Linked DNA regions of Ovis aries. The protein of the gene in region 1 interacts with the protein of each later gene in a pairwise test. Links are inferred from orthologs where the notes say so. Each region holds a gene or a part of one and is shown in the gene's direction. Other genes may lie near its edges.

The links.
Region 2: the proteins of GPSM3 (region 1) and GNAI1 interact in binary tests that used the Homo sapiens proteins (3 or more experiments, as listed by UniProt). The two-hybrid records come from large-scale screens. The link is inferred for Ovis aries from reciprocal best matches to the Homo sapiens genes GPSM3 and GNAI1.
Region 3: the proteins of GPSM3 (region 1) and GNAI3 interact in binary tests that used the Homo sapiens proteins (3 or more experiments, as listed by UniProt). The two-hybrid records come from large-scale screens. The link is inferred for Ovis aries from reciprocal best matches to the Homo sapiens genes GPSM3 and GNAI3.

Annotation. Positions count from the first base shown.
Region 1 is NC_056073.1:26,271,020-26,275,077, forward strand, and holds GPSM3 (G-protein-signaling modulator 3), read left to right. Parts: upstream 1-1,326; 5' UTR 1,327-1,530; coding exon 1,531-1,751; intron 1,752-1,956; coding exon 1,957-2,065; intron 2,066-2,277; coding exon of another isoform or gene 2,278-2,315; coding exon 2,316-2,477; intron 2,478-2,711; coding exon 2,712-2,849; 3' UTR 2,850-3,475; downstream 3,476-4,058. UniProt on the Homo sapiens protein: Interacts with subunit of G(i) alpha proteins and regulates the activation of G(i) alpha proteins.
Region 2 is NC_056057.1:42,546,185-42,550,454, reverse strand, and holds the start of GNAI1 (guanine nucleotide-binding protein G(i) subunit alpha-1), read left to right. Parts: upstream 1-1,470; 5' UTR 1,471-1,775; coding exon 1,776-1,893; intron 1,894-4,270. UniProt on the Homo sapiens protein: Guanine nucleotide-binding proteins (G proteins) function as transducers downstream of G protein-coupled receptors (GPCRs) in numerous signaling cascades.
Region 3 is NC_056054.1:86,823,309-86,827,024, forward strand, and holds part of GNAI3 (guanine nucleotide-binding protein G(i) subunit alpha-3), read left to right. Parts: intron 1-494; coding exon 495-648; intron 649-3,716. UniProt on the Homo sapiens protein: Heterotrimeric guanine nucleotide-binding proteins (G proteins) function as transducers downstream of G protein-coupled receptors (GPCRs) in numerous signaling cascades.

The DNA of each region.
Region 1 (4,058 bases):
AAGGGAGCCTCTATCGCCTGAAATCCCCAATACCCGCAAACCGCTAACATATTTATTGAGCGCCTACTGTGTGCCAGGCACTGTGTAGGCGCTGAAGACAGGGCCAAGGGTTACTCCAACTGATGATTCCTTGCATTCTCCCCACCACACCCTACCCCCAAACAAACTACTGCAGGGATGAAGTGCCACCCTTCTAGCCACCGCTATCTCTAAGAACCCCAAATCTGTCACCCCATAATAAAGATGATTTGAAGTGTTACAGTCTTTTGGGGTTGGGGAATGGAAAAAATATGAAATTGACTGCATCATGTTTTCAGAATTTTGTGCCCTAGGTTCAACATGTGGATGGAAGCTTTCAGCATAGTTTTAAGAGCAAGAATAAGACTTGGGGTCCTATGTTAGTTTAAGGAATCATCTTAAGTCTCTAGTAATCCAGTGAGAAACCACACACATGCATACTCTTCATCCCTCTTGGAAGGGCATTTTGTTATAGCCACTTAGATCTGATTCCTGAGGCCTCAAGTAGAGGGAGATGGAGAGAGCATCAAACTTTAACTACCATTCAGCAATAGGGTTATGCCTCTTTCGTGGCGATGGACCTGAAACACACAGGCATGAAGCATTTTGAAAACTAATAATAATTACTATTTATTGAGCATTCACTACAGGACAAATGCTTTATCACATTTGATCCTCATATCAACAGTATAAATGGGGGGGGGACTCCTTTTTACTCTTCGAGAATCTGAGGCACAAAGATTGTATGTGCCCAAGATTGCAAGGCATTAAGTGGCAGAACCTGATCTCTTTCTTCATCATATTTCATGCTCTAAGTCACTCAGCTAGTGTGACAGTTTGCCACTAAGAGGTCCCAAATGTCTCTGTCCTGTTTCCCACTTTGGTGCCAGCCAGTCTGACCAGCATTGATCAAAGCCCAAGTCAGGTTGTGGTCCTCTCCCTTTTCCATTTCACAATGAGAGGAAAGCTTTCCCTTCGTGTCTTATATTTGGTGCATATTTTGTACCCTGAATAGACTGTAAGCACCTTTAGGGCAATGGTAACTACTCAACCCACATTTAAACACAGTGCTAGGGATATACGTATGTTTGAGGGCCTGGCATCCTTGGATCTGTCTTACCCCTGGAAACATGCCCCTCACCATCCCAGTAAGTCAGGGAAGCTGGGAAGCAGGGGGTGGGTCCTTCTTAGAGAAGGCACCTGGGGGTGGGGGGTGGGGTGGGGGGTGGGGTGGGGGGGTTGGGGGGATTCTGAAGAGTGAAACCACTTCCTTTGTAGCTAGTTCCTGTGTTGACAGATCTGAAGGGGAGGAGGGGGGTGGAGGGAACACAGCTGGGGTTTAGGGGGCTACTGAGGCTCTGGAGATGAGAAAGCCAAAAATCCTTTCCCATTCTGAACCCCCACCACTGCTGCAGCTGGAGGAGCTTTTCCCAGTCTCTCTGCTCCCCTGGGGCAAGAGAAGTCAAGCAAGCAGTTTGGGTGGGAAAAGAGAACTGGAGGAAGTTGACAGGGATGGGCGGGGCCCGTGGGGGGGCTGACCAGGAACCCAGCTTCCTGCTCAGTACCCAGGCATCCAGCCCCCGGCTCACCCCCACCCCTTTCGGCCCCTACTCCCCTCAGGAACTCAGGGTTCCGGCCCTCCTCCCAAATCCCAGCTACCCCCTCCCCCATCGGTTTCTCCCCTCCAGGGTATGGAGGCTGAGAGACCCCAGGAAGAAGAGGATGGTGAGCAGGTGAGCTCGGCACTGGGCTGGGGAGGCTGACACTGGGAGAGAGAGAGGTGAGAGGACCTGGGGCAGAGACTGAGTGACGGTGGACGCCGGGGACTTGGACGGGTTTGGGCACACTGAGGCAGGAACAGAGACACAGAGGAAGTGGGCTGCTGGCCTAGCCCTCTGCCCACCCCACCCCCACTTGACCGGAACGGATGTCTCTCAGCATCAGGGCCCCCATCAGGATGAGCATGGCTGGCCCCCCGCGAGCTCCAGCACTCGGCCTTGGAGGTCTGCCCCTCCGTCCCCTCCTCCTCCAGGGACTCGCCCTACAGGTACCCCCAGCCCCGCTCTGGGGAGCTCCCTGACCTGGTACACACTTCTTTCCTGATCCTATTACCAAGGCCCACTCCGTCAGGGGCTCTCTCCCCAACCCTCTCCAACTCCCCATCACACCCTGGTAGCCCTGACACCCCCAACACACACACACACACACCACTCCTTTTGCCAACCTCCCTGGATCTGAGCCCCCGCCTCCTCTCCCCAGCCCTGGGGCCCCGCTCGGCCTCCCTGCTCTCCCTGCAGACCGAGCTCCTTCTGGACCTGGTAGCAGAGGCCCAGTCCCGCCGCCTAGAGGAGCAGAGAGCCACCTTCCATCCCCCCAAGAACCCCCCAAGCCTAGGTCGAGCCCTGCCCCGGCCTCTTGAGGACAGAGAACAGCTCTACAGCACCATCATCAGTCACCAGGTGAGACAACCCCTGCCCCTCCCCCCAGAAGGCAAGACCCAGGCTTCTTGGTTCTGGCCCCTTTTCTCTCTTGGGTCCTACCCCTCCTTCTCCCCAGGCATCTGCCCCCTCGCCTACTCTCCCTATCCCCACATCATTGGTGTCCTTTATGCCCCTCACACCAGCCCTGCCTCCTCTCAAGGCCTGCTCCTCTTAAAACCTCACCATCAACCTCCTCTTCCTCTACTCCTCCAGTGCCAGCGGATGGAAGCCCAGCGGTCAGAGCCTCCTCTACCCCCAGGGGGGCAGGAGCTCTTGGAGTTGCTGCTGAGAGTTCAGGGTGGGGGTCGAATGGAGGAGCAAAGGTCCCGGCCCCCCACACACACCTGCTGAGACTTGAGCCCCCACCACCCCCTCTGCATTCCTGGGGCTCAAAAGCTGGGCAGCCCCACTCATGCCCTCACCCCTGCTGGGGAGGAGCACCAGAGACTGGAAGACCCAGCAGAAATCTCAATATTCATCACCCTCATCCACCTTTCCTGGGAAGTGGAGCGGGCGAAAGTCTCAAAGCCTAGGAATAGCCAAGGTAGGATGGATAATAACTCCCGCCATAACCAAGTGTGTTATGAGGCTATGAGAGGATCCCAGCCTCAGTGGGACACCTCACCCTCTCTTCTGATCTCAGGGAGTGCCTGAGAGTCTCCGTCCTGAGCTGTGGGAACAACCCCAGTAGTCAAGCTACCAGGTGGGATCTCAGGGTTCTGTCCTCCATCTCCCAAAAGAACGGCAAATCTCCCAAGGTTTTGACCTGGGAATTCCACCCTCCTTCCCAATAAGAAGAAAGGAAGAGAGGGCACGGCAAGACATAAAGACCATTCTCACATCTCCATCACCCGCACCCCCTAGCCCCAGGCCTACAGGCTGTGAAAGGACATTTAGCCCTGCCCCCCCTCCCTCCCCACTGCTGTTCTGAACTGTCTGATGTTTGGTTATATGAATAAATGTGATCCCCCTCTGGACTGAAGACTGGTGTCTGGGGTGGCCGGGTGGAGGGTAGGTAGGTGAGGCCGGAGGCTGCCCGCTCTCCCGAGTCTGGCCAGAGGCCAGCTCCCCTCCCTGGCTGGTTAATTACTGGCTCATTAAGCAGCGGCTGGAGACCTCCCTAATTATCCCCCCCAGCCCCCCTCTCCTGGTTTTAATTAAGTAGAACAGGGAGGGGAGTCATTAGGATAAGAAATATGAACTAAGCTGTCTGTGAACCCAGGCATTCCAGCGGCCAGGGTCGTCATCAGCTTGATCCCGGATTCAGAACCCGGGTGGAAGAACCCCCAGCCTCCAACACGCCCCCGCTTCAAGGCCACAGAAGTCCAGCCCCTGGGCCCTTCCCTCTTTTTCCCCACGGGCTAGTCTCCGCCCTCGTCCCCTCCTCCACTCGGTCTCAGTTCCTATGTTTCTGTGCGTCTCTCTCCGCCCCCAGCTCCTCCCTGTTCCTCCTCCCTTCTCCCCTCCTCTTCCTCCCCGGCTCCCCTCCCCCAGCCTCCCTCCCTCGCTCCCCCCTCCTCCCTCCTCCCTCCTCCCTCTCTCTCTCTCACACACCCCCGC
Region 2 (4,270 bases), on another chromosome or scaffold:
GAGGGTAAAGGTGATTCATTATAATTCAAAGCTTGCTCCTTTTTGCTGTTATCTTGCAAAAGACCTTAGGAAAACCTGAGGCAGTTCTTGAAATGGCAGTTCTTGAGCCCAGCATGTTTGACTACTGCAGAACAGGAAAGGGCATGTCCAATTAGGAGGAAACTGGCAATCTCTCCCAGGCCCCAGGCCTTCCTTAGGAGACCCACTCTAAGGCTATCCTTCCTGTAGCATCAGCTCAGCCTTACCTTCTTGGAAAACTCAAGCCCAGTTTTTTAAACAAAGTTTTTATTTTTATTTTTAGAAAATAAGACTTATAAATGGTTGCTCTTTGGTTTCTGTTAGAGCAATTACCTAATATAACACATCAAAGAAGACGTTTTTCTTTGCTACCAACCCAGTCTTATAATCAACCAACATTTCCTGTGATATCTGTAAGGAAAAGTGCAACTGACAGAGACCAGATCTTAAGCCTATGCTCATTGATGACACGCTGGGTGAGATGCCTCCAACGCCCACAGAAGTGATTTCTCCCAGACCAGGTAAAGCTGGAAGGATGGAGGCTAGTGTGGATCAGTTCCATCTCATTTTATGGTTCAGGAAGCCAAAGCCTGCAATAAAGAATGACATGCCCAGTGGCTTCTGATTTACTAACATGGTCATGAATATTGGTGCAGAACTTGGCTTGGAAGCTTCTATGTCGCCCCAGAGGAGGTCAGTTACGGTGAGGAGGGGTTTTGTTTGTGTGGGTGTGTTGGCTCTTATTTTAAAAATATACTCTTTGATTCTTTGTCTCATATTTTCTCAGGTTTGAGGAAATCCTTCAAAATGTTTTCTGCCTGTGGAAAGGAACGTGAAAATGGATGGTAGGAGGGAGGAGAGAAGGAAAAAAAAAAAAAGGAAGAAAGTTGACCTCTTGTCCTCCCGGGACTTTCTGTTCCCCACTTCACCTGCTCGGCTTTCTCCATGGCTCCATTCCCAAACCAGCTCGCTCTATCTCCCACCGCCATGAAGGCCCGCTAACACGGGTTTGCATTTTGAAAACCCTCGCGCGCCCGCCCGAGCTGGGCATGCTCAAACGCCCAGGACTGGTTTTTTTTCGGTTTCCAACTTTGGCAGCTCTCCCACCCGCACCCCAAGGGGCAGGTCCGCACACATCCCTGGGTGTGAGTAAATGGGAAGAAATTATCACACTCTCGAGGAGGAAGCCAGGTAGAGGAATTCCCCGAGAGGTTTGGGGCTCCTTGGCCGCTTCCCAGGGGCGCTTCCCACGGGCGCGCGCGGGTGGCCGGCCCTCGCGGGCTGTGCGGCGCCAGGGTCCGCGGCAGCGCGGGTGCGCGCGCCCATCCGAGGGGGCGAGGTCCGAGGGCTCGTGCGCGGGCGCGCGCTCTGGGAGTGGTCGCGGGGCGGCGGGCGGGGCGGCAGGGGCGGGGACGCGGCGGCGCGCGGACGCCTCGGCGAGCTGGGCTTCTTAGAGGCTGCAGCGCGGCCACCAGTAGGAGGCCGCTGGCAGCTGCTCCGAGAGCCTAGGAACCTGGTCTTAGGGGGCGCCTAGGGAGGCGAGGAGTAGAGCCTGACTGTAGAAAAGAGCTGCGCGGTGCTGCTCGCCCTTCGGCAGAGAGCGCTGCCCTCGCTCAGTTTCGGAAGGAGGTAGGGGTGGCGTGGCCGGCGTCAGGAGGAATTCGAACGCCTGCATCCAGAAAGAAAGAATTCACCTGTGTTTCGAGGCAGCGCGCCGGACTTGGAGGGAGCGGCAGCCAGCTTTCGCTCCTGGCACAATGGGCTGTACGCTGAGCGCCGAGGACAAGGCAGCGGTGGAGCGGAGTAAGATGATCGACCGGAACCTCCGGGAGGATGGCGAGAAGGCGGCGCGCGAGGTCAAGCTGCTGCTGCTCGGTAAGGGCGGCCGGGCCGGGTTGGGCGCCTGGTGGGCCTGGAACCCGGGGTTCGGGCGGCAGAGCCGGGCGCGGCTGTGCTGGGCTCTTTGGCGTTGGGAAACCCGGAGGGGACGTGCCAAAGCGGCGGAGGGCGCATCGTGTAGCGTCCGAGGATGGTTTCGGAGCGCGAGCTTGTGCCGCGCAGAGCTGAGGCGGGGGCCCCTCTCCTCGGTCTTCTTCTCTTTGCTCCCTTGGCCGCGGAGAACTCGCCGGTGGCGCGGCAAGACTTCACTCGCGTGCCTGGTGTGAAATTTCACCAGGAGCCCAGGAGCGGTTCGCAAGGAAGCCCCCTTCTTTTAAGTTAGCTCAGCTTTATCAAAATGAAAGGGCATTGGCGAAAAAGAAAGAAGAGCACCCCCCGCACTAAAACCCTGCGTACAAGGCATCGTATCGCGGTTGTGGTTTCCTCGAGGATGTCAAGAGTGCCACGTTTTGTGAAATCAGTGCACCTTTTGTGGGGCCTCCCTAGGGTTGAATTGTGTCTTTCTGGTGAACTTCCTATGGCGACTCAGTAAGTGTTAAAGGAGCACTGATTACATTTACCTTGCGTAGGGGAAGTAGGCTATGCTGGATTTTTAAAAATAACTGTGGGGATATGAGAACCACCAAAGTTGGGTAACTGGCTTCAGTAAAACCGATGTGAAAGGTGTGAATGGGTCACACGGGACAACAGGATTCTCCTCTGCTGCCAGGGCTTCTGATGAATGAGATTTGCCAGGTCGACGCAAGGCTTTTATTTGTTCTTAGTATTGTTCTGGTGGTAAAACGCTCTGCGGAGGTCTTTTCCAGCTGTTTGAAGGAAGGGAACGTGAAAAGAGTAATCCAGGATTTTGATTGAGGGATACATTTGGAAAATATTCACAGTTTAAGATTTTTGATGTGTGAGTTAGGATTTTCTTTTGTTTGCCCCGCCCCCCCACCCCCCGCAAACACACCACACCACCCTACCTATAGGTAGCAAAGTAGGTGAAAGATTTCTCAGAATCTTTGTTTGCACTGCAGCGACTGCTTTTGTTTTTGTAACAGTTATAATAAAATAAATACTATTGCACAAGCCTATTTTCAGTAAGCTTCTGTTTCATTGGTTTAATGAGTGCAGGAAAAATGGTGGGTTTTTTTCTCCATTACTAGTAGGCTTAGAAGCTGCAAACTTGGCATGACTAAAAGTAATAATGATCTGAGTCATTCTACAAGTAAACTGTGAAATAACTTTGCATTTTAGAGACCTGGTGGTTTTTCCACACCTCCCCCTACCCAAAGTAAATCTTTCTCAGTTTATACTGTTTACCTAAGTTTTTACATTAATAAGAAATAGTCTTTTGAGGAAGGCAATATATTTTTAGTATCTTGAACACAGAAGGGACATACCTTGGTATGGGAACATATAGGTGCTCCTCTTTCAAATGGAATGTGCTTCAGACAAAAATGGAGAAAGGATTGAAAAGTTCTCTTCAGCAGTTTGTGCACTCCTGCTCTGATGTATTATTTCAGTGTATTGTGTGACGCTCATTTTGAGCCAGCTATCCACCATGTTTGTTTAAAGCCTTGAAAAATGAGTCCTCTGGTATGGTAATATGCTTTACATAGATGTCTATTAGAAATAGACAAGGATAAGGGTCCAAGGAGTTGGTGTTTGCTTATATTCAGAAGAGATCAGTATTTCTCAAACTTAGCACTACTGGCATTTTGGATGGAATATCTCTTTGTTGTGAAAGCTGTGTTGTGCCTTATAGGAAGCTTAGCAGAATCTTTGGCCTCCAACTAATGTCTCAAACATGCCCTAGGGGCAAGTTTAATCTCAGCTGAGACTAGCTCTTCTAGACTGAAAAATATATACTGAATATGTAGGGTAGAACCTGAGTTTGGATCTCTACCATGAACTGTAGTGAGAACTCTGAGGGAGGTGTAGCAGAGCTACGATTTTCAGAAGAAATTAAGGAGTTTTGTTTCTCCATACCAAGTACATTAGAAGGCTTTCAAAATGACTTAAAATCTTTAGGTAGCTGATTTTTTTCAGCTCTCTTTTTTAGCTTTAGTCTTGTGCTGTTCCCACACCTTTTCTCTGTAGAAGTCCCATCATAGCATCATATTATTGGCCCAGTGAATTAGGCCTTACAAAACAGAGGACCTCCTCGTCTGTCTTACTCCCATCCTACCCTCTACCCTTTTGCCCAGAGTTCCAACATTCTAGTTCCTTTAAACAGAATGTTGGCTTATTCTTGGAATGTTTGAAAAAATATTTCTTTTTCCTAGTTTGACTTTAGCAGTGAAGTGTTGACCTTTGGTTCTTTGGGGGATTTTTTTTTTTAGTTCTTAGTGTGTAAAGAGCTCAATTA
Region 3 (3,716 bases), on another chromosome or scaffold:
ATCCATTTACTTATTGAACCAGAACCTAATAGTCTTAATTTTTCTCCTTGTCAGTGAGATTAAATTTTCAAATTATTGATTTATACCCTGTTAACCATAAGGAGATATGACAGCACACTGAGTATATGGACAGGATTAGGTCTCTTATTAGCTAGTCCTTATTCCCACTTCCCAAGCTTCAAGAATTATAAAAATAAGGACTGACTCAGCTTTTGTATTATCAGTATCTGACTAGTTTCCATGATTGCACATCAGTGGTTTTAAGACTTCATGGTCTGAGACTTCTCTTGTGGTGCAGTGGCTAGGACGACGCCACACTCCCACCGCAGGAGGCATGGGTTCAAGCCCTGGTCGAGGAACTAAGATCCTGCATGCTGCGTAGCACAGTCAAAGGAAAGAAAAGAAATAAACCCTTTCTGGTCTGTTTTTCATTAATAGTTAATCTACTTTTACTTTTTGCTACTGACCTATATCATCCTTTGTTTATTTCTCAGAACCGAATGCATGAAAGCATGAAGCTCTTTGACAGCATTTGTAACAACAAATGGTTTACAGACACTTCAATCATTCTGTTTCTCAACAAGAAAGATCTTTTTGAGGAAAAAATAAAGAGGAGTTCATTAACTATCTGTTATCCAGAATACACAGGTAAAGGGTCATGAAAGATTTTGTTGGAGGTATACATCTTGAATCAAAACTTTCATGACCTTCCTACAGCTGTCATTTGTTTTGAATATTGTATGTATCTCCTTGTGGAGAGTGTTCATTTGTAGTGGTATCAGCATTAAGCATGTGCTTAAGACCCCTGAAGTCTAAGGTGCTATTCCAGATATAATCATATTTATGATGTTTATATTTCTGCCCTCATTTTTTGAGGTAAAGAAAGATAAAAATTTGATATAAATATATTCACAAAAAACAAGGATAAGATAGAGTTTTGCACTCAAGAAACTAACATTAGTTATAGAAAGAGAGAGAGAGACACACACACATGTAAAGAGTTTCATTTTAGTGTGAAATGTTCATTAATAGAAGAACCAAAGAAGTGGTTACCTCAGTGGGATCAGTGTAATCTTTTTCTAGAGGAAATGACACTTGGAGTGAGAGAGTAGGAGGATGAACTAGAAATCATCAGGCAGGTGGGGGAGTAAAAAACATTTTAGGAAAAGAAAATAGCATATATAAAAATCTGCAGTTAAAATTGACATTATTTGTCATAACTGCCATGACTGGTAAGGACATCAGTGGGTTCACTTGAATTTAAACCAGCTCTAGATAGGAAAAAAATCTCAGTCTCCTCATTTGCTACTCCAGTGGAGAGCACATCTCATATTTTAGAACAAATAGGGGTGCCTTGCTTAAATAAAAATAGCATTTAATGTATAATTGTGTGAAAGGTTTATGGGTAAAGCTGTATTTTTGCAGCATTGTGACAGTAGCTTCTGCTTTAATATTAAACAGCTTGTTATTTAAATACTGGATCAAAATGGTTGGCTTCAAAATGTCATCATTAATTAACTTCATGTGCAAAAAAAGAAAAAGACATGATTTGTTCTGAAACCTAGGAGGAATTTAAAATTGCTGGAGCCTAGACTGTGGGGAGGAGTGGTTAGAGAAATGGGCAGGGATGCTTGTAGAGGGCATTGTATGCCATGCTGAGACAGGGGAACTGTTGAAGGATATTCTTTGGGGTACATGATGTAGTAGGAACTGATTTTAAAAGATTACATAATAGATGCCAATAAAGATAGATAGTAGGGGAGTTGAATTAGTAAGGACTTTCAGTATACACATTGAAACTTTTGGTGAAGGTACAGAGATACAGAATTCAGGGACAAGAATGCAGATGGTCCTCGAGAATGCAGTTAGAATTAGGAAATATTGTCAGAAGTCCTGGAAGCCCTTCTTTCCCCATCTTTTTTCTCTTCTGTGTCTTCTCTATTCTTCTCTCTCTCCTTACCAACTCTCTCCTGTTTAGTGTATATGATAAAAGTTGGCCCTGTCATGGTTACTGTATCTCCTCCATTTAAAAAACCAGGCTAGATTGGGATTTGTTGGCCCAAGGTTCAGATTGATTGGCCAAGGTTAAGTAAGGCAAAAACCCTTAGCTCAGTAAGTTGAGGTTAGGGTCAACAAACGTGAGCACTAGGGCTGTATCATTATGACCTTTAGATCAGAATTAAGTGTTTCTAGGAAAGTAGACCTCTTGTTAGCTGAGCAGATGCTGTAAATGCTTTCTATAATAAGGTGAAAGGGTGTAGCTAGGGTAAGGAAATGGAAAGAGTCAGAGATACTCTTGATTGGTACTTGGTACGTTCCTAAATATAAATTCATTTAGGAATGTTAAATATGAGTTCATATTTTGGAATGTTGGTTTTGAAGTTTCTGAAACATCCTGATAGAGATATTTAATAGATAGTTATATATATGGCCTTGGAGCTTGGGGAGAGGTTAAAGGTTAGTAACAGATACTGATTTGGGATCATGTGTAAATACAACATGAAAATGGATGAGATGACCTAGGGTGATGATATAGAATGAGGAGAGAAAAGAGTAGGATGGGAGCAAATACCAGCCTCTGTTGGCAGGAGAGAAAGAAAGGTATGTATTGGATATAAAGAGAAGAATCTGGAAAGCTGAAGTGTCATAAACTAAGAGGAGAGTTTAAATAGTGCGGAGTGGTCAACAATGTCATATGCATATTTTGAAAAAATGTCTTGTGGAGCTAGCAGTTAGAAGATCATTGACTGTTAATGGAGAGCATTGTCAGTGGAATGAGAGCAGAGCCAGGACCAGTGAGTTACTGAGTGGGCAGTGAAGAAATAAAGACAAGTATAGCCTCCTCTTGAGCAGCTTAGATAACAGGGGAAGGAGAGATCTTTAAATGTTTATAGGCTTAGAGTAAGATCCTAAAGCAAAAGAGAAGTTGTTAAAAGTAGATGTAATTAATGGAGCAAAATTTGTAATCAGGTGGGAAAAGAAGGAATCAAGAGTCTAGGTAGGATGGATGGATAAATAAATTAGTATATCTGTACTATGGAATATTATTTAGGTATGTGTGTGTGTGTGCTCAGTCGCGTCTCTCTCTTTTTGACCCCATGGAGTGCAGCCTGCCAGGCTTCTATTTAGCTATAAAAAGGAACAAAGTATTGATAATGCTACAACTTTGATGAATACTATAAACTTTATACTAAATAAAAGAAGCCAAACAGAAAAGGTCACATTTGTATGATTCCTTCTATATGGTATATCCCAAATAGGCAGATCCATAGAGACAGAAAGCAAGTTGGTTGGCAGGAAATTGACACGGGGGAATGAGGAATGGTTACTTAATGGGGTATTTTTCTGGGGTGGTAGGAAAGTTTGAAACTAGAGAGAGGTGGTGGTTGTATAACATGTGACTGTACTGAATACCACTGATTGTAAACTTACTGCATGTTATGTGAGTTTCATTTCAACTTAAAAAGTTGAGATGTAGTTTTAAAGCCCTGTGACCTCTCTCTTCTTAGAGAATTTAGAATTGCAGCCTCTGTTAAGAGTGAGGAGGAAGATGAAAGTGAAAGTGAAGTCGCTCAGTCGTGTCCGACTCTTTGCGACCCCGTGAACTGGGGCCCACCAGGCTCCTCCGTCCTTGGGATTCACCAGGCAAGAATACTGGAGTGGGTTGCCATTTCCTTCTCCAGGGGAACTTCCCGACCCAGGGTTCGAACCCAGGC